Linked DNA regions of Oryzias latipes. The protein of the gene in region 2 purifies or fractionates together with the protein of the main gene of each other region. This does not show direct contact. Links are inferred from orthologs where the notes say so. Each region holds a gene or a part of one and is shown on either strand. Other genes may lie near its edges.

Evidence for each region.
Region 1: the proteins of nmnat2 (region 2) and fbxo45 purify together in Homo sapiens (co-immunoprecipitation; 3 studies listed by BioGRID and IntAct, with this or other methods). This does not show direct contact. The link is inferred for Oryzias latipes from reciprocal best matches to the Homo sapiens genes NMNAT2 and FBXO45.

The regions. Positions count from the first base shown.
Region 1 is NC_019878.2:11,798,018-11,808,960, forward strand, and holds fbxo45 (F-box/SPRY domain-containing protein 1), read right to left. Parts: upstream 5,343-10,943; 5' UTR 5,122-5,342; coding exon 4,798-5,121; intron 4,124-4,797; coding exon 3,767-4,123; intron 3,693-3,766; coding exon 3,507-3,692; 3' UTR 2,787-3,506; downstream 1-2,786. Other genes in the region: fam168b (myelin-associated neurite-outgrowth inhibitor), read left to right, coding at 9,075-9,144, 9,232-9,536, 10,338-10,536. UniProt on the Homo sapiens protein: Component of E3 ubiquitin ligase complex consisting of FBXO45, MYCBP2 and SKP1. Functions in substrate recognition but also plays an important role in assembly of the complex.
Region 2 is NC_019875.2:12,700,755-12,711,479, forward strand, and holds the start of nmnat2 (nicotinamide/nicotinic acid mononucleotide adenylyltransferase 2), read right to left. Parts: upstream 5,487-10,725; 5' UTR 5,377-5,486; coding exon 5,292-5,376; intron 1,630-5,291; coding exon 1,541-1,629; intron 1,144-1,540; coding exon 1,076-1,143; intron 839-1,075; coding exon 760-838; intron 1-759. Other genes in the region: protein FAM49B, read right to left, coding at 7,896-7,959, 8,038-8,108, 8,180-8,306, 8,417-8,496, 9,852-9,968, 10,070-10,147, 10,222-10,358.

The DNA.
Region 1 (10,943 bases), on a different chromosome or scaffold from region 2:
ATCCACCTTTGTCATGGTAGGGAGAACACGTCAATGTGAGGGTGGGGTCATCTAAGATAGCACAAGGGCTACAATGTCATTTAATGTCAGTTCTGGACTGTAGTGAATTTGTTGTTATACCCTTTTTCAATCTTTGGAACTTGGAGCTCTTTTTTGTGAAACCCTGAGATTTGTCTAATTCTTGTTTTCTGTGAGCTTGAATGGGATGGTCCACCTCGCTTAAAACTTACATGAATTATGAGTTGTTGATTTGATATTTCATTGCATTTATATATATATATTTTAATTTATTTACATCTGTGTTTTGGTGGTTGCTGATAGCTGTTGCCTCACTCACTTGGCCAGAAAAAAAAGCGATTTCTGATTATGCGGAGAGATTATAGGTTATAATAATAATAATAATAATAATAATTATTATAGGTAAAAAAAAAAAACCTTTTCTAACTGTAACGCATGGCAGTAAGGGTATGATCATCTGACCTGATTTTACAGTTACAGGTCCTGGAGAACAATGACAAATACATTTTCATGCATCAAAACATTCAGGTTTTCTCAAACCCTTTGACTTCCAGAATGAAGCACTTTTCAAACCAACTTGTAGCATTTCTCTGATGATGCCTCCATCATTAGCATTTCAGATTATTTCTTTATTTCAATCGTTGTAAATTGCGAGCAGACAAAAAAAGTGCCATGGGGAAAAAAAAGATCATTTTTGTGATGTCGAAACAAAGCTGGGCGGGGCACAAAGGCTCTGCTCCGCTCCATTCTAATGCATCCATTTGTAGATGAGCTGGTAACAAAACGGTATGGCTGAATAGCTCCAACATTACTCGTTAGCTTGGAGGTGTGGGGGGCTGTAAGCTAATGGAAGAGAGTGTCAATAAGGGATCATGGGATATCTGCAGAGGGCTACTTCCGTGCCAACGGTCTCGCCCACAACACAAATTTCAAATGCTGCTGCTTTGCAGAAACTATGTCCTGGAAAACGACTTGGTTTTCTTCATTTACCTAAAAGCAGCATTATCATAATTAAAAGACCACAAGGAAGTATTTGCAAGAGATCAGAAGATGTTCGGAGTGACTCTGGGCTTTGGTAACCTCATATTAAATACCCATGCACTCTATCCTTCTATATGTAAATGTCCCTGTCCCATAAGAACAATTTGCATTGGCTTAACCAAAAATTAAGCTTTGTTGTTCACCTTTCTGCATATCCCCTCAGAGGTTGCCACAGCCAATCAGCTTTCCCTGATCCACATATTTGGTTTGGCAGAAACTGTAACCCTTGTGCTATCCTAGGCACTTTAACGTTGGGAGTTGGGTCATCTAGACCCACTAAACAGTGCACTGAATCTTTTTTCTTCAATATTTTGTGAACCTCACTGGTGTCCATGGATTACATGAAATCTTTCCACCTTTATCCACCTTTGTCATGGTAGGGAGAACACGTCAATGTAAGGGTGGGGTCATAGGACAGCACAAGGGTTAAACCGGTCCGTAATTAAATGCAGTGACACATGGAACAGCTCGTTACTGTAGCACCTAGTGTCGTAGCAGAAGTATCCAACTACTCTATTGTCCCCAAATCAAACATATTTTCATTAAACTTTAAGTTGCTGCTGTAAATCCAACAGATTTATCCTCCAGTTCTTTCTGGATCCTGCTAAAAACGCTCCGCTCCTTCATCAGCTTAAACTAAAGCTACACAGAGGCCACTAGCTAAAGTTACAGTTACAGCGTGCGCTGGTGTTTTTTATTTTTCTCTAGCTCTTCTTTGCATGCTGCCGTTTTCACATCTGGGCTTTGTGAGAGACCGGCAGACTGACTTAATTTGGGGCAAATATACAAAATGAGCAGGGGAGAAAATACTTTTCCCCCCTTAACACCGGTACACACCGGGAAGAATGTTCGCCAGGCGTTATTCGCCAGCGTTTTTTGTGTTCACACCCAGGCGATTTTCGCTGACGATGAGCCGAGCGAACATGCAATTTCATTCCCTGACATTAGATGGCGCTTAATGTAAACAGAAATACTCCTGTACACAAGGTGGCGCTGCGCAACTTTACGCTTCTTAAAGTCGCTTTTCACTCAGAAGAAGAGAGCAAGTATTTACACGCTTGTCAGAATCATACAAAGAAAACATGAATATTTCAAGCACCAGTTGCTCCAAGATAGACGCCGAGTTGCATCTACACAGCCGCGAAGAAATAATGACGGACATTCTAAAATATCCCCGAACCAAGCACCAGTAGCTCCAACTGGTGCTTGGTTCGGGGATATTTTAGAATGTCCGTCATTATTTCTTCGTGGCAGTGTAGACGCTACTTGGCGTCTATCTTCTTCACTGGTATATGTGCTCAGCAAGGCAGTTTTGTGTTTGTGCGCCCCCAAGTTGTGTTTTACTGTAACTTCAGAGGCTCCAGACACGTGTGCAAAAGCGCCGTTCTCATTGGTCGAATAGATTTCGACGCGACAAACCAAAAAAAACGAACCCGAGGCGTTTTTTTAAAAAGTGACGCTTTGACGTGTGGCGTTTTTTTGCGTCGGTGTGCACACTCACATTGGTGCCCTTTGTTTAGTCACGGGGCGTTAAACGTCGGCGAAAATCGCGGGCGAAATTCGTCCCGGTGTGAACAGGCCTTTAGACAGACAACAGCATTGAAAAAAAAACTAAAATGTTTTTTTTTTAAAATATATTTTGGGTTTAATTTTGAGAACTAAGGCTCAAATAAGATCAAAGAAGGGTGTACTTTTTTTTCACGATGAAACAAAATCAACACACCCACTTTTTCATCGTGGTGGCACCATGTCGACTTTATTTACAGGCCTCACAACCATACAGTGTCTGTGGTACCGAGGATAAAACCATAAATTAAATAAATTGAACACTACAGTAGCATAATAAAAAGGACACACATTAGCATAAAACGAGAACATTTGCACCAATACTGAGGAGTTCTTTAAAAAGAGGAGATGTGATACATTTCCTCCATTTTTTACTATATAAAAATAATAAAATTAAGAAAAAAACAAAAAAACATATGACAATGGTTTGGCATAACTTCATTATAATCCAGTCACTGGTTATTAAGAGAATCCAGTGACTTGTTTTATGAACTTGTACAGCATAAAGCCACCTTTTCACTTATAATATCTGAGTAGTTGTTGTCAATAATTAGAGTAGATTTGGCGTCAGTGGAGCGGGCAGAAGACCTCAAGTGTGTGTAAAGCTGTTAGCCGCTCTGCTTCCTGTTTTGTCAACCAAACGTCAGCAGCTTAACGGTAAAAGTGGACTCTTCCACGTGGAAACCCGGACCCTTTTCATGACACTCTGCATGCACTCCTCTTCTGTAGTAGAAAACGCAAGCAGTCCTCTTTGTGGATGGAGATGCCTGGGGAGAAGTTGTCCTCCAGCGGTCTCAAACGGTTTGGATGATAGTGTGACGAAAAACAAAAAGGTCCTGCAGCTGTCTAAAGCTTATCTTTGAATAATGGAACAGGTTGGTCTAACCGTCGAGAGGCTTTCCCAGGTACACCATGGTGACTTCTGTGTTGCCATAAACGGCAGAAACAGCCGGGAAGAGGCAGGCTTTGGGAAGTCCTCGAAACGCTACTCCGAGAAACTCAAAACCCCTCTCGAAGGCTAGCGTCTTGTCATCCATGTCCAGGATCACTCGTATCCTCTCTCCAATCTGCCAACAAACAAGACGATGATGAGAAAATGAGGTTCAGGGAGGCGACATACCCCTGCAGCTCCGGCCCTCACCTGGTATTTCGGCGCGTTGTTGCACTGCGGGAAGTTCCCGCTGACCTCGCCGTTATGCAGCAGGTTGTTGTCGACCAGATTCCAGCCCCAACTTTGGTCGTCGCTGCCCAGCAGAGCCACGTAACCCTGGCATTGCATCGCCGCGCGCTTTGTGGCGATGCCTATGACTGCCACGGTGCCCAGGGGGCCTTCCCACCAGATCTCCCAGGCGTGCCGCCCTTCCATGAAGCCGATCTTGCCTCGCGCGCCGTCCGTGCTTTGGGCGATGGGGTTGCGGTGCAGCGTGAAGCCGTTCTTTTTCACATAGACGTTGCGCGAGCAGTCGTGGGAGCTCAGCGCGTGCTGGAAGGCTTTGAGCTGCAGAGAGTGGGACGCACATCACAAATGTTACAAATATGGCTTCCTGCAGGACGTTTAACTCCACCACATAACTGCGCTGGCTATAAAGTCAAAGTTTGTCTGTCTTTAATTCAAAAAACTGTTTTATATTTGAAGATAAACAATAACTGCAAAACAATTACCGCATTTACTCATTTTTCCCTATAATTAGCAACTGATATCCTGCTATCATTACCCAGCATCCCTGTTTTTTAGCCTAAATGAATAAACCCTGAAGGAAAACACGTAAAAGTTTGAACATTGAAATTGGATGTAATAAAAAAAAAAACAAAGTATAGATATATTTTAAAAGTAGACTTTCAAATATTTGGAAGATTTAAAAAGTACTTTGAATGAATTTTGCCTTTATTTGGTTAAAAATAAGCAATTATATTGTTTTTTTTATAACAAAATTATTTTTAAATGGTTTCATTTGGATAACCTGTCAATTTTGTCTGATTTAACTTCAATTATTTTAATAGCTTTTCCATTTTTTTGGTTTTAAATTGCTTTAATTTGAGTAAATATTGGTTGAAATGTACCCAATATTAGATAGCCACAACGGTATGTTAGCCTAGCATGCTAGGCTTTTCGTTATTTGGCGGGTTTTTGTGAGACTGACAGCGCCGGTCTGTCATGGTCGGTTTACCTACTTTCCCCTTGTAGGTGGGCAGGTTACACAGGACGTCAGATCGCAGAGCCTCATCGCCAAGAGTCCGGCTGCAGAGGCTGCGCCACACCTCGCTGTTTTCATCCGCCAAGACATTGTTCCAGTGCCAGCAGACCAACGAACAGCTCATCAAGTCAGCCAGTTCCAAATAGGAGAAAATGTGCTCCAGCACTCGAGCTTGTAGCCTCCCGGCCACTCCCGCGGTTGCAGCGGCGTAGGTAGAGCCGGCGGAGGAGCTGCAACTGGATGCCGCTGCTGCTGCGCCCAAACACGGGGAGCCTCCTACCCCGCCGGCCGCTCCAGACATTTGTGCCGCTGGCTCTCACCGACGATAGAAGCCGAACGACGAGTTTAACCTTTCACCGCCGGAGAACTTCAATAATTCATTTAAGCAGCAACATTTTCTTTTCTGAAAATCTTCTTTCAGGTCGCATTTCAATCAAAACAGTATGGACTCTTCCCAGTTCAACGGCTGAATGGAGACGATACGTCAAGGTCCTGGAAGATAAAAAGAAAACTATTTACTGCGTTGTTCCGCAAAAATAGTAAAATGTAATTTATTTTTTGATTTTACTTTAAATATGTCATATCAAATTAGAAAGTTGTAACTAAATACATGTAATAAGATAAATAATAAACTTGAGTCATCTTTTTTTGTGATCTGCAAAGACCAAATGGCAGCCATGATAAATGATAACAACGATTTAGCAGGCTTACAAAATTGGACATTACGTCTTTGTAGTATTAAGCACAGTGACTGTGTTACGCTGTAAAAATTAAAATTATTATTTTTAAATAATTGTGTCGCACAACTTATTAAATTATTTTTTAATCTGTTTTTGTCGAATTTATAATTTATTTATTTATACTATTTTTGAGTGATGCATTATGATAGTAAAAATAAAAACAGAAAGAAAGAAAGTATTCCGATTAAAATTGTGTGTTTAGGAATGAACGTCACGTGACAACACGGAAGTGACGCGGGGTGCTCAAAAGAGTTAAGCAAAGCATCTGGGAACAAAACATCAGCTAGCTCCAGCTTCATTTAACAGCAGAGACACAGAAGACAGTGCGGGCGGACGGTCAAGACATTCAACAGTAAGTTTTTTCGGGGGGTTATTTATGACATTTGCGATAACATCCGCGGTGATGGGACAGGCGTCACAGCTGTCTGGCTGCCTGCCTGCCTCCTGTGCAGCGCGGCCTGTTGACAAGCTTGTCCCCCCCATCTGCGTGCTGTCCGGGGACACTGGAGTGGTTTGCGCCGTCCGACGGATGATTTTTTTCTTCTTCTTCAGCTATTTGCGCGGATCCCTAATTATTTGCAAAACGCATCCAGGTCGGCGTAGGTGTTGCGGTGTCTGCTGCAGCTGGCTAAGCTAGCTCATTATAACAAAGCCCCGCTGTGGTCACCTTTCCAAATTCTTCTACTTACAGGTGCCATCTTTATTTCTACAGGCGGCATTCCTAAAGTCACCTTTAAGAGAGCACACACACAATATATATACATATGAAGATGTATTTTTAAAAGAAAACGAGCTAATATTTAAGATGCACTTTCCATCCAAAAATCTTTAACCAAATTGTATTTATATATTTTTTTCTCTTTCTCTCTCTCTCTCTCTCTCGGAGAAATTAAAGTAATAGTTAATATACGCACTGGAGAATTGTTAAACCGTTATAAATGAGTAATATTGTTTTAAAATATTTTTTAAAAATGTTTTTTCTTTTTTATTTCTTGGTTTGGGATGTCTAAAATCTACTCTTTAGTATCGTAAACCAAATATAGTAGGATATTTTAGGGTTTAATGAGCATTTTAATTCGTATCTTTTCAACCAAGTAGTGAAAGTGTTTAGAACATTTAAGTAAAAATAAATAGTTTTTAATTTAAGATTTTTCTTTCTTTCTTTATGTTTGCAAACTGATGCATGTTATTCATAATTACCGCCAGAGGGCAGTATCGAGCTCTGCTTTAAGTGATGCTGAAGAGACAGAACTTCAAACTTTCACTGGAAATAAAAATAAAAGTTAAAAGCAGACACTTCACATAATAAATCAGATTTGCACACGACAATCAGATTGATTGATTAGTTGCTTAAAGGTATATCAAGATAAAATACCTGGGGAAAGGTGATGTTTGCTTAAAGAAAAACCAAAAAAGGTCGTTGTTTGTCACTCTGATCATCAAAAAATGTAGTTTCCGCAGAGTAGCAACAGTTCTTTAGAAATTCACCCCTGAGTTGTAGCATGACTGATGGTGCGGAGCAAACCTGCCCCGTCACCGGAGCACAGAGTTTGACATCCCAAGCAAGTGTATTTCCTACGTCACAAATAAGCTTTTATTTTTTCCAACTGCATTTTTTTGTCTGCTCCCGATTCACAACAGTTTAAATAAAAAAATACTCAGAAATGCTATTATGAGCTTAATTTTCCCCATCTAAGTCCTCCATCATGAGAAAAATGCCACAAGAACATGTTAAAAATACCCAAAACACAATTCTCATCAGAGTGGGTCTTTTAAAACAACAATCTATGGTATTTGATTAAAACCAATTCATTTCTTCAACACTTTTATTTATTTATTCTACTAAACTCTTTTATATGCCTCCCACTAGGGTTGTGCCGATGGACGATATCATCGTCCATCGTGATGGGTGACTGACATCCCGATGGAGAGACCACCATCGTGATGCCACGCCCCCGCCACGTTGCGCGTCGACACCATAAGCCGCGGTTACATGTACAAAATATCTTGATGGGATCAATGGTCGGATTAGAATCCAACCGTGTAGATGGGGCCCAGAAAAATGTTTTCAGAATATAAAAACGTTCACTAAGGTCACACTTTCCATCGGAATAAACCATTCGCACATGCGCAGTAGGGTTTGAAAAACGGAAGGATATAAACTCCGCCGAGCGGCTTTTTTTTTTCAAACTTTATTGTATGTAACAATTCAATACAAAACAATGATAAACAGCGCCGAGCGGCTATATACATTGACATGTCAGCTCGGTAAAATACGAGATGATCTTCTAAACGTGCTTTTAATAATGTTACGGTTATTATGAAACACCTGTTCGCTCATCATTTGAATTTTAATCCGTGTGGTCAGTTCTTTTTCTGAACGAAGCCAGGATTAGCAGTATGCTAACACGGGCTAACAACATTAGCTTTGGGTGGCGCTGCTTGCTGGCTGCACGTAAACATGTAAGAATAACATCAGCCTTTATTTAGTCGGGACACGACTGGAAACACAAATCCGCGTGATTGTTTAAATGTTTTTTAAGGACTGAGCGACATTTCTGCTTTGAAGCTCAAACCACTGTGTGTGCTGACGATCCGAGCTGTGCACAGACACACACTTTTAGACCCGGTTCTGAGTTCGGTTGCTTGTACCCCTAGAGCTGCGGGACGGATCGCAGTCTTAAATCTCCCACACATACCGCTCATGTACCCCCCCCCCCTTCCCATCAAACACAAAGCTGTAAATCCGCACTCCCCCGGAAGTGCGGGAGCGGACTACTTCTTTTCTATTTTGTTTGTTACTTTTTTTGTTAAAGTCACCTCCCTCAGTTTATACTGGATCATCGCGGATTAGTCATCAGTAGGGAAATAAAATGAAAAAAGCAAAAAAACGAATAGCAGTTATATAAGAACGAAAAATGTAAAAAATACCCCCCCCCCCCCCCCCACGATGTCATCGTCCATCCCGATGGTTGACAGCAAACATCGTCAACGGCCAATTTAAGGGACATCGCCCAACCCTACCTCCCACCAACGCTTCCTGCCATTTCAAGTTCAACAATTTTGTTGCCAAATTTGAAATTCTAAATGATTTTAAATAAAAATAAAAACCTCATGCTGTGTCTTCCGATTGCTCTCTAATGAGATAAACAAATTAATGTATTTTATTCTCAGAAAACAAAGAGTACATTTGCTTTTTAGGCGCATATTTGACACTCGGAGGTGGAAATATCGAATCAGTTGAAAGAAATTAGGAAGGACAATGAATTCAAAACCTTTTGACTCCTGTTTTTGTTATTCCAAAGTCAGCTTTTGTAGAATAAAACCATGATCATGTATGACAAAGCATCTGATTTAAGGGGTTTATGATCCCTCTAAAATATCAGTTAGATTTTCCTTTTTACATTTTAATAGTCAGGATTTGGGTTCTTTGCACTTTTTCATGGTTTTGGGAGATCATAGTATCCTCATCCCGTTTTCGTCCGTCTGTTTTTCCAGCAGCTGCACAGCCAACATGAATCCAGTCTACAGCCCTACACCCACGGGGGTCCCCTTCACCAACACCAAGGGTTTAGGCTATCCAGGTGAGCTCACGCGTTTCTCCTGGATGCCAAGTTGATTGGCAGAAAGTGCGAGGAAGTTGAGCAAAATCTTTTTGCGTCCGCCTGCAGCAGCCGGATTCCCTGTCGGCTACGCAGCTGCCGCCCCCGCCTACTCCCCCGGTGTTTATGCAGGAGCCAACCCGGCCTTTCAAAGCAGTAAGGATGAAACCCACCTGAGACCTTTCCACCGTACGACCCTGTTCTACAGCGGGAACTGTCCATATTCTCCAGGTTACGCTCCTGGCACTCCCTTCAAAATGTCCTGCTCTCCCAACACGGGGACGGTCCCACCGTACTCCTCCTCACCCAACCCGTACTCTGCTGCTGTGTACCCGGTCAGGAGCACCTACGCCCAACAGAACCCCTATGCACAGGTCAGTGGGACCTACGCCCAACAGAACCCCTATGCACAGGTCAGTGGGACCTACGCCCAACAGAACCCCTATGCACAGGTCAGTGGGACCTACGCCCAACAGAACCCCTATGCACAGGTCAGTGGGACCAGCTTTGCTTTTTAGGCCTCAAAGAACAACATGTTTAGTGGGCTTAGCCCATAGTTATAGTCTGCACAGCAGCATTGTAGTTTCCCCCAGCATGCATTTGGTTCAGACCATCATTTTTCATAAATGAAAAATCTCAAAAGTAGTGATTTCTGTTGTGTAGATGGATCATTCTACATTAAAGTAATTAAAGTCCCAAGTTTAATCAAAAAGTGATGAACTGAGCTGCTTTTTTAATGTGCTTCAATCCGGAAGTTTACATTCACCGGAATATAAAACGGACCATTAATAACAGAAACATCAGCCTCTGTTTAATTTTTGGTTTTTTTATCGTATTGCCACTTTTTTTCATGTTTGACTGATGTTTATCACACAATGGGGCGGGGCTTTTAGAACTTTAAACATACAAACCAATAAGTCATGTGACCACAGCTTTGTCAGAACCCTTTTAATTGGGAAGCAACTTTTCTTCTATAACAATTTTTCAATAAAAAACATTAGTTAAAATAATAGAAAACAGACAAAAAGACAAATGTTATTTTCAATAATTCAATGAAAATGTATTTTCGTCTTTTCACACAAACTTGGGTTTTTCCTTGAAGTATAAATGATCCAGGTTATCAGGGTGAGGTAAGGTCAACTTCTTCCCTTGAGCCTCTCTGCATCGTTTTCTAGGCGTTAATACCGTCACAGCAGCAGGGCACCTACTACACGCAGCCGCTATACGCTGCCCCGCCGCACGTCATCCACCACACAACGGTGGTCCAGCCCAACGGGATGCCTGCAGCGGTGTACGCCCCGCCCATCCCTCCGGCCCGCCCCAACGGTGTTGCCATGGGGATGGTAGCCGGCACGACCATGGCCATGTCAGCTGGTGAGCTAAATTCCCATTGACCATACGGGAGAACTGGACCGAGCGAGGGGGACGCCACTCATGGAGAATGACTGGATGAAGTCCATTTGTTTTCCTGATTTGGAAGCCGCCAGACAATGTGATTGGTCGAAGTTACCATATCAACGGCGATGGATACACCTGATTGGTCCGTTTTTAACTTGAAGAAATTGCAGTAAAGAAAAAAAATGGTTTAAAGAAATTCTGATTAGTAAGAACCTGTAAAAAAAAAAATAAATAAATCTGTGGGAAATTGGCTTCTTGGAGTCAGCAGGTACTTCCTGTTTAGAACGCAAAGGGGGAGGGGTCACTCAGTCCAGTTCTCATACAGTTATCGCTCATTTGCAACTACAAAGGCAAGCTTCTGACGTAAATGAAAGCAGCTCCGT
Region 2 (10,725 bases):
GTTTTAGTGATAAATGCCGAGAAGCAGGCTGTTTGGGTCATTGATTGAGGATCAGTGATTTTGCTGGTTAAAGGATGCTGAGGTTGTATGGAAAGACAGCAAAAGGACGAGGGATGTAGTGAAGAAGCCAATGAGGGAAATTTTACTGAAAGCTTGAAGTTTGGAGCTGAAACTACTGCGATCCTGCCATAGACTGTACAAATTCTGTGAAGGTCAGAGGTCATCTGTCTGTCAGAGTGCTGCCTTGCGGGGCTAATGGTGGTAACCAGAGGAAAACTGTTTTGGAAGCAAGCAAAATCAGTCCAAAAACACAAGACAGCTTCATTGAGGAGGAAAAACAAAATGGAAAGATGTTTAGACCTCATCTGACTGAGTTAAGATCTGAGTTTATAATTCCACATTTAGAATAAAACCTTTAGACAAAAATGGATCCATGAAGGAGTTCAGGGAGAAAAGACACTGCTAAGCAAAAAGAACAATAAGAAACATCTGGATTATCCGGTCTAATGAACAGATCGGACTCCAACTAACTCTTTCAGGGTCCATCTGGAGGTGGGAGTGTGGTTGTGTGGAGTTCACGAGAATGTTAAAGAGGATGAAAGTCCACCTCTGAATGGTTCAAAAACTAATTGATAGTTCTAGTTAAAGTTTGGACTCTTTAAAGATACAAGGAAGACTCACTAACTGGAATCAGTTCTTTCACTTCTTACAGCGCAATGCTATGTGCTTTCACAATCTTCTCCACAGACAAACACTCACCTTCATCAGGTCGCGGTGATGCTCCAACACACTGCAGGTGGTCTGCCAGGTGTCCTGGTAGCACTCCCAGGGGTCCACCCTGCAGAAAACAACAATCCTTCAGGAGAACATCATCCATAGCTGCTTTTAATCTATATGAAAACAATTTAGACTTTTGTTCCAGAGCGGAGAACTTATAAAGTTCTGACTGGTAACAACAACATCATGACTGGAGAAGCTTTCAATGATTCAAGGCTTTTATTATGAATTCTACAGGAAGTCCTCTGAAAGAAAACACAACCAAGCCAAATGAAATCAGAAAGTGAGTTGAACTCACCTGATCCAGTCAGAAGACTGGACGGCCAGCTGACACATGGTGAGGCGGTGTCGGCTGGACACCAGGCCCTACAGACAAACAACACAGAACCAGAATAATCACAAGACTTTTTTGTTTAGTTTCTGAGCAGCAGCAGCAGCTATCTGCAGCATCCATTATTCATGCAGAGCTTCCTGCAAGGCAAGAGCGTGCTACATCATTGGGGGTTGAGCTCCAGCAGCAACACACAAAATAAAACATGCACGCAAACACATACAAACAGCAGCAGCTGAAACGATCCAATCAGAACAATCATCACTGTTGTGTCTGGACTACAGCTCCCATCACTCGTTTGTTTTTTGTGAGCAAACACGATCGAGACCTTCTGACTGACAAATGTTGACAAATTCTGCAAAAAGTCAGACAATGGTGCTTCTACTAGAAGAACTTCAGTCTAACTTTTGGACTCATGTTGTTCATACTCACCGGTTTTCCGTATGAGTCGTGCACTGGTGAGACGATCCCTCCAATCACGATGAAGCGTCCCGTTTTGTGCAGATATTCTCTGGCTTTTTCTGCAAACAAGTCGAGGGGCATCGGCAGACAAACAAACCCAGTTAACGAAAATCCCATTTGTAAAATTCGGGATCTATTGAACCCACTTAAATAGCGGGAGTAGTTAGATAATTGTAAATTGACTATGAAAATATGAAAAAAAAATCTGACTTTATTCTTGAAAGCACTTTTTGTACTTTAGTAACCTGAAGTGCTTTACAAAATAAAAGCGTCTTTCAAACTTAAACACAAACAAGGACCCTTTATATTTAAAGAGAGATTTTAAAAATGTCCACAACACCCCAAGCCCTGCACTACCATCATAGTGAAACCTAAAATTACACATGGAAAAACTTTAAATTTGAAAAAAGAAGCAGAAAAGAAAATTTGGCTTGGTATACATGGAGTTCAAATTCATCACCATTTTATTTCAGAGAACTACGTATTTAGGTAATGATGTCACTGTCAAACTGCGGCAATATCGGAAATCATCCTACTTAGTGCGCTATATGGGACATTCTGCATTTTGTCGGAGATTCCGAATCTACAATTCCAAAATCCAGTGCCCTAGAAAATTCCCAGAAGTCTCTGTGAAAAACTACCATGCACTGATGCTCACTAGATTGACTAATACAGACCACAATGCATTACTTTTGAACAACTTGTCTTTTGAACAAGTGTATGAAATTTTATTTAAAAAAAATTGTCCAACGTTTTTCTTATCAGATCACAGTAGATTCATAAAAGGTCTTTGTAAAATGTTCCTTTTCTTTTAAAAGTCTCTACTTTGGCAAATGGGTGACGTCATATTTGGTGTTTAAAAAAACAACAACAAAGTAGTGAGTCTCCAAATCTAAAATTCACAGCACTAGATTGTCTCCTATATTAGTGGTTAAGTGGAAGTGAGGGAATTCGGACATGGTTAGTCCCAAAACTTCCATTGTGTCCTGTTGTAAACATTGATAGATGCTTGTCACTGTATCATTTTGCTTTTGTAGTGTGGAAACATATATGTCTGTAAATTAAATATAATATTGCTGTTCTCTGTTTGCACTCCATCAGAAAGGCACACCGGTTGCTTTGGACCCCTGAGCTACTCAGTGGTCTTATGTGACTTCAGGCTATACATTTTGTTAAAAAAATCCATCTATAGATATAAAAAATAAAATTATAATATATGAGGTGTAATTTATTGGATATTTAGATATAGATCGATGTCCCCTACATGTCATTGAGGGGACATTTGTGTGTCTGTGTGTGCTCTTTTCTACAGTACATGAGTTTTTCCAGTAACTTATTATTAAATAACTTTTTTTATTATTATATGGTGCTTTTGATGATGCTGTTTATGTTACTCAAAAAACCCAATAACTTAAGAAATCAGATAAAGACTGGATATTTGGTGAGCGTATTAAAAGCTTCAATAAAGACTATGTCTTTAAAACTAAGATGATCTTAGTCCAGCTATAATCTTTGGTCTGGGACTGGGCCTGAGGAATTTGTTCTGGAAAGTGTATTGATATTTTTTTAAACTTGAATCTTTTAATGTTAAGGAGGACAACTTGTTTTGTAGGTGTCTTCCTGTTTTCCAGTCAAAAGTCGGGATCAGAGTTGATGACTCATTTCTGCTTTGGTGCTGGTGTTTTTCTGTTTGGCTGCTCACGCTGATCCAAGATCTGTTCCAAAACCTTCATACCCTAACCACTCCTTATCCCACAAAAAGTGCAGGTCTTTCTAAAGTCCTGGATTGGAATTACATTTTTTTGTTTTTGAAACGGCAAATATGACGTCACCCATTTTCGGAAGTAAAAACCTAATAAATATGAACATTTTATGAAAGACTGTTCATGGATCTACTGTGTACTGATCAAGGAAATTTGGATTATTTACAGAAAATACATTTACAATCATTTTTTTCAAATGACAAATCATTCAAACACAATGCATTGTGGTCTATATTCACCAATCCAGTGAGCATTCGTAGAGTTCGTAGAACTTCAAAAACAAAAGACCATGACTTCTGCAGACCAGAACTTCAGATTGACCAGGACTTTAGCAAAGACCAGAACTTTAGCTGGATATAGACCTCGTCAGGATTATGACTTCAGCAAAGACCAGAACTGTATCATAGATCAGACCAGCATAGACCAGAACTTTATCATAGATCAGACCAACTTAGACCAGGACTTTATCATAGATTAGACCAACTTAGACCAGAACTGTATCATAGATCAGACCAACTTAGACCAGAACTTTATCATAGATCAGACCAACTTAGACCAGGACTTTATCATAGATCAGACCAACTTAGACCAGGACTTTATCATAGATCAGACCAACTTAGACCAGGACTTTATCATAGATCAGACCAACTTAGACCAGGACTTTATCATAGATCAGACCAACTTAGACCAGGACTTTATCATAGATCAGACCAACTTAGACCAGGACTTTATCATAGATCAGACCAGCATAGACCAGAACTTTATCATAGATCAGACCAACTTAGACCAGAACTTTATCATAGATCAGACCAACTTAGACCAGGACTTTATCATAGATTAGACCAACTTAGACCAGGACTTTATCATAGATTAGACCAACTTAGACCAGGACTTTATCATAGATTAGACCAACTTAGACCAGGACTTTATCATAGATCAGACCAACTTAGACCAGGACTTTATCATAGATCAGACCAACTTAGACCAGGACTTTATCATAGACTAGGAATAGCAAAGACTAGGTCTTCAGCTGGATCAGAACTAGATAAAAAAATATTATCGGAAAAAGCTTGTTGATGTGCCATAGACACAACGGGAGGACACAAGCTCCCAGCTCTGCTCAAGTCTGATGCATCCACTTGTTGACACATAGATCCGTGTACGTCTTTATTTTCCTCGTCTGAGCTGCATCTGGCTATAAACTGCACGGCTGGATAGCTCCAATATTTTACCATTTTTGGTGAGCAATATTGTAATGTTAGGTAAGGGGTGTGAGGAGCTGTAAGCTAATGAAAGAGAGTGTAAACAAATGGATGAGGGGAAATAAAGGCGGGCTTGCCCCCAACTCAAAGGTGAATTCTAAAGATGTCCTGCCACTCTGCAGAAACTATGGCCTAGAAAACAATACTGGTTTATTGATTTTGGATAAAATTCTTTCACAATAGATCAAAAGAGGATTTAAGGTGGGACTTTACCAGAAATAAACCATGACTTCATCAGTGAGCAGGATTTCAGCAAAAACAAACCAAAAGCTCCAGCTCTAAAGCAAAGCTCTCAGAAGTGTATCAGACAGAAACATCCATCACTTAGACTCAGATGTTTGTCTGCAGGTAAACAGACCTCATCTGTGTGTTCTGACTCTGTTCTGGGGTGGGGTGCGGCTTGATCAACCAACCATCGTCATGGTCATCGTCGGTATCAAACAGAAATGGGACTCGGATGGAGGCTCCCATCCTGCTCTGACTCATCAACCCTGGTGGATTCTGGGTCGGCCCGCAGAATCTCGGCAGGTCCGGATCATCGGCGCCACAGGATTGAGGCCCGGACCCCGAATCCCAGACCCAGTTCTCTGCTGGTTCTCGGCTTGAACCGAACATGTCAGGCCAAGCCTCCAGCTCATCATCGGAACCGAACCCGACCCCCCCCCACCACCACCACTCCCACCCCCGCAGCCTCACCGAACATGTGGATGTGTCCTTTGGTGATGGGGTTGAAGCTGCCGCACGAGAGCAGGATCACGTGCGTTTTACTGCTTTCCGTCATGGTTCCCGTTCGGTTCCGAGTTCCGGTCCTGGCGGGTCCGTCTTCGCCCGGAGGAGAGCAGAAAGATGCTGCGGCAGGAGGGTGGAGGGAGGGCGGGGTCGTTAAAGAGACAGGCACACGGAGGAAGGGGGCGGGGCTTGTGAGATGCCACCTTAGGGCCCCCCTCCCTCCACCCCCTGCCCCAGACTCCATTATGAGATATAATTAAAGAAACACGCGAACAAACGACATTGGTTTGTCCCAGATCTTTCTTGACGTTCTTATGGGAAGAGTTTGAACCAAATCAGGAGAAGATAACAAGCTATGACAAAGATTTTTATTAAAATGGGGTGCAGGGAAACGGGGCCTCTGAAAGCACTGGGGACCCCCTTCCCCTCCCCTCATCCATGAATCCCAGTGTGGGAATCTTCAAGTGAAAAAAAGAGCAGAGCAGCTATTTTTACCAACTGAGGATGTTCCTCTCCAGCTCAATCCACTGAGTCTCATTGTTTGATTTAAAAATACATACAAATCTAGAAAAATGTGACATTGATAATGATTGATTAGACTCCTATCAGCCCTCCCAGCACACACAGCAGGTATCCTGAATTTCTATACGCTAAACTCTTTGGTCTTTCGGGTTCCTCCGTCTGCTGCCTGTTCTCTCACTGCTGCAGAGATTTACATATCTATTCTAAAAGCAGGTGTTCCACTTTTCCTGTGCTTGTCTTTCTCTTTACTGTCTTCTCAAAGCCCAACCAGTCAATCTGAAAAACGTTTTTTAAACTATTTGATTTACTTTAACGGTTTCGTGGCACAAATCTGCCCCCCCCCCACACACATTATACTGTGGTGTGAGGAAGTTTTTGACCCTCTTCAAGATTTCTTATTTTTGCCATGTTTTCCACACTTAAATTTTTCCTATCATCAAACACATTTAAATATGAGTCAAAGACCACACAAGTAAATGTATAATGCAGTTTTCAAATGATTTTTTAGTATTACGGGAGAAGAAAAAAAAACTTTGGAGTGGCCTAGTCAAAGTCCTGACCTGATCCAATGAAATGCTGTGGCGTGACCTTAAAAAGGCAGTTCATGCTCGAAAACCCTCCAATATTGCTGAATTACAACAATGCTACAAAGATGAGCAAGCCGAAAATCCTGCACAGCGCTGTGAGAGACTCATGGCAAGTTATCGCAATCGCTTTATTGCAGTTGCTGCTGCTAAAGGCTAACTGAATGTTTGATGTAGATGGCAATCCATATTTCACACAGGGCAATAAAGGTTTTATTTATTTTTTTTTAAAAATAACTGCATTTTATTGTTAATTGTGTTGTCTTTGACTCATTTTTAAATGTGTTTGATGACAGGAAACATTTAAGTGTGAAAAACATGGAGAGAAAAAAATCTTGAAGAGGGGCAAAAACATCTTCACACCACTGCATGTATTTATATATATATATATATATATATATATATATATATATATATATATATATATATATATTCAACTGAGACATCAACAGTCGAAACAGCTCGATGCTGAACCTGTGCCTGCTCTGCTCAAGTGAATTTAAGGTAAGGCGATTTGCCTTCTGGTTTTTAAAGTCGAACAAGACAGAGAACCAACACAATTTTCTTAAGAATGTAAAAAAAACCCACTTTATTTGATTAAAAAAAATCATCATTGATAACCATTAATTACATAATTCTCTACAGAATGAACAAAGCAGATTGAAGCCCCCCTCACTCAGGATGTCTAAAACCCGTTTCTCCAGGAGTCCCCAGGGAGCCCAGGTCACCTTAAGTTGACTTTAAATTTGTGCGGTGTTACCATTGTAGCACAGACCTACATTTCTTCTATTCAGCTCAGCTGATTTCTGTCTCAGAGTACGTTGGCTTGAAGTATGACCCCCAGCCCCCCTTCCTCACCGCATGGTTACACCTGTGGTTGTGTATTATCTTAGACGGGTATGACAGCTGGTTTATTTCTGTCCGCTGTGAAGCTACACAACTCCTACTTTTTGGGCATTTCTGAATGAAACTCTTAACTTTTATGGTTGAAAAAAGGTTAAAAAATATATAATAAAATAATCCACCCCCTAGCCAGCTGGTGCAGGTGCAATGAGGTATGAACGCGGTAGAAACTCTTACTAGGAGCTTCTTCCTCAGCGAATTTCAAATAGACTAATGGATAAAAACAGGTGATGCCGTGATAAGAAATTCTTACCAGCAGGTGGTATAACACCTGGGTTTTTGTTTGTTTTGTGTAAATACTTTGTAGCTGTAAACAAAAGTACAGCATTTTTGTACATATTGGGGCCTGGGGGGGTCATTTTGGACTGTCTATCTCCATTCACTCCAGACCTGACATGTAGCAAGTACGACCCGTTACAAATCGTTTCCATTTTTTCTACAACAACAAAAAACTTTCTACTTTAGAAATCAAAAACAATAATGGCACAGAGATGGACAATTGTTCCTTTGAAATCTGGACCAGAGTACTTCAGGTTTCCAGCCTCAGCAGGGCCGCTCAGTTCTACTGCAGCATGTTTCGGATCTGCTTGGAGGTAGTCTCGTCGTTCAGGTGTTTGGTCGTGTACCTGCAGGCAGATCAGACAGAACTTTTCTAACTTTACTGTATAACACATACTTGAAGGGGCGTTCAGCAGTGTACGGACCTGAGAGCGTTCAGCAGACCCTCCACGCTGCTGGGGGCCTGCTCCCTCAAGACCCGGATGCAGCCTTTCATCTGAGGGACACAGAAAGAAGGTCAGACAAGAAGGGCTGGGAGTGGTGCCGAATCTCTGGCTATTAACGCACATCGATGTTGGACGTCTTCACGAAGGCGCCAGCTGGGTGAACGTGGTCGTACAGGATGATGACCCCCACCATCACACGCAGGCAGAACAGCACTGTCTCTTCGCTAGTGAAGCGGCTGCGATACTCCCTGCGCTCACACAGAGACACATACATGACCAAAAACACCAAAATAGAGTTCCAGAGTTGTGGTGATGCATAAACATTTGGTGATGGATTCATGAACTAATCAGGACTCACGGAGTTTCCAGCATCACTTTGCACACACAGGCCATTGTGCTCAAACAATCCGTTGTGTTTTCAATGGGTACGTCTGGATTCTGGACAATTGGGTTTAATTCACACAAAAAAAGACAAGCAATGGTTTATTTTTTTGTACTAACTTTGTAGTCAAAACTCTCACAATGACGACAGTTAAAGTTTCCAATTCACAAGAAAAATGTTTAAATGTAAAAATGCTTTAAAAATACAGACCACTGTCTAAATGGTCTTCATGAACACAACAGATAATATAATAGTGTTTAAGAGTGAGTCTTAAAAACCACACCCTGACAGAAGTGCAAGTTTAAAGAGTTAACTCAACAAACTGACTTTTCAGCATAAACCTCAGAAAGGTCTAATGTTGCTCAAAGACCCACTGTAATGATCATTGTATTTTTAGTGGGTTACATATTCTTGTAGCATTTTTCTCACAATAAAGGACATATATAAAATAATTCAAAATTAACACTTCATTTCTGAGAATTTCGTTTTTCTAATTTGGAGGAATCAGAAGCAGATAAAAAATTGTCATTTGAAAAATCTCTCAGTTTTGACATAGAAAATTAAAATGGGCTGGCCAAAGTTTCCCTGCTGCGCTCCATTCTGATGCATCCATTTGCAGACAAATAGATCCATGGACATCTTTTTTCTCGTCCGAGCTGGAATCTGGCTCAAAATTGGACAGGTGGATAGCTCAGATATTACTATTTTTTTTGCTCTGCTAATGCTAGCATGGGATTGTAAGAGGGGCTGTAAGCTAGCGGGAGAGTGTGTAGACAATTGAGCGAAGGAATATGAGTGACGGCTTTTTTCTGCACCAACAGTCCTGCCAACAACTTAAAGGCAACGAACTCTTGTCGCTCTGCAGAAACTATGTCCTAGAAAACGACACATGTTTTTTCTATTTTGGCTAAAATGGCAAAATTATAATTTAAAGCCCACTGGGAACACTTGAGGATACATAGATGATTGGAGTGGGATTCCAATACTATATTGCTTAGATCCACCTCTTGTTTTTTCAACAACAGTTGAAGTGAAGGGTTCTGTGTATTTGGGAAGGAAAACCCAAGTAGATACAAACCTAACTTTCCACAAAACCTACAGAGAGAAAAATCCCCTAAACAACCAAACTAACTGAGCTTCAAGTTTTTTGAAGATTCCCAAATACATTAGTAAAAGAAAGTTATCAGTGATCAAGTTTCACTCTGTAGATCTGCAGTTTGTAAAGAAACTTAATTTAAATCAATCCACAAGATGAAAGCAAAATGCGACCCATATTTACTTAATTATGCAGAGAAAATTAATGTTTTGATTAAACAATAACTGATTAGAAAAAAAGTCTTTTTCTCTTGGTGTGCTGGTAAAACTTTCTTACATGTGTCAGTGAAAAAGTGAATAAACCTGACGGACTCACATCTGAAACAAACTTGGAGGTGGCGTTGCTCAACGTCTTAAGCATGGGCGTGGCATTGGCATAGAAGAGGGACATGTGGTTGGCCAGCTCGTTGTTCACTTCGCCGCCTGAGTCGGACTGATATGACAGACATTACTCACCAGGGATGATCGTTTCATGCTTACCTTTATCGTAAACTGTCTTTAAAATGAGTGTGCGTGTGCTGCGCTTGTGCTCACGGGCAGATTGTTGATGCGCATGCGGCTGATGGTACGGCGGTAGTAGCTGAAGTCGTTCTGGATGGCTGGGTTGGTCATCTGTGGGAAGCAGGAGTTAAGAGGATGAGGAAGAGCAAGGATGATGCAGGAATGACTGCAGAGGGGCGACAGACCTTTAGCTCGTCAAACCGTAGAGTGAAGTGCAAGATGTGGGCAAACTGGCGGGCAAGGGCCTGCTTCTGCTCCAGCTGCTGTGTGGGCGTGGTCCCGGAGCGGGTAAGGACATCCAGCAAAGAGCGCAGGCTAGACTCTGTGGGACACACATACCTGTTCAGTTCCCGCTTTTATGAAAAAATTATCCGCTCATATTGAAGTCAGTTAAAGTCCTGTTAGCTTTTGTTCTCTGCATTTGACCCATCCCATGAATTTTGCAGACACAGCTGCGCTCAGGAACCCAGGACCAGCTGGGCCTCCTCCAGAGTCTGTTTCACCTTCTCCCAATCCAAACCCTTTATGCCGAGTGTAAAACAGGGAAGCATTGAGTCCCATTTTTTAAAGTCTTTGGCATGACTCAACTGTGGATATGAACTCATGACCTATCCAGTACCAGGGTGGACACTCTACCACAAGGCCACTGAGCTGGTACATGTAGATAACACTAGCTGTGGAATCATTCA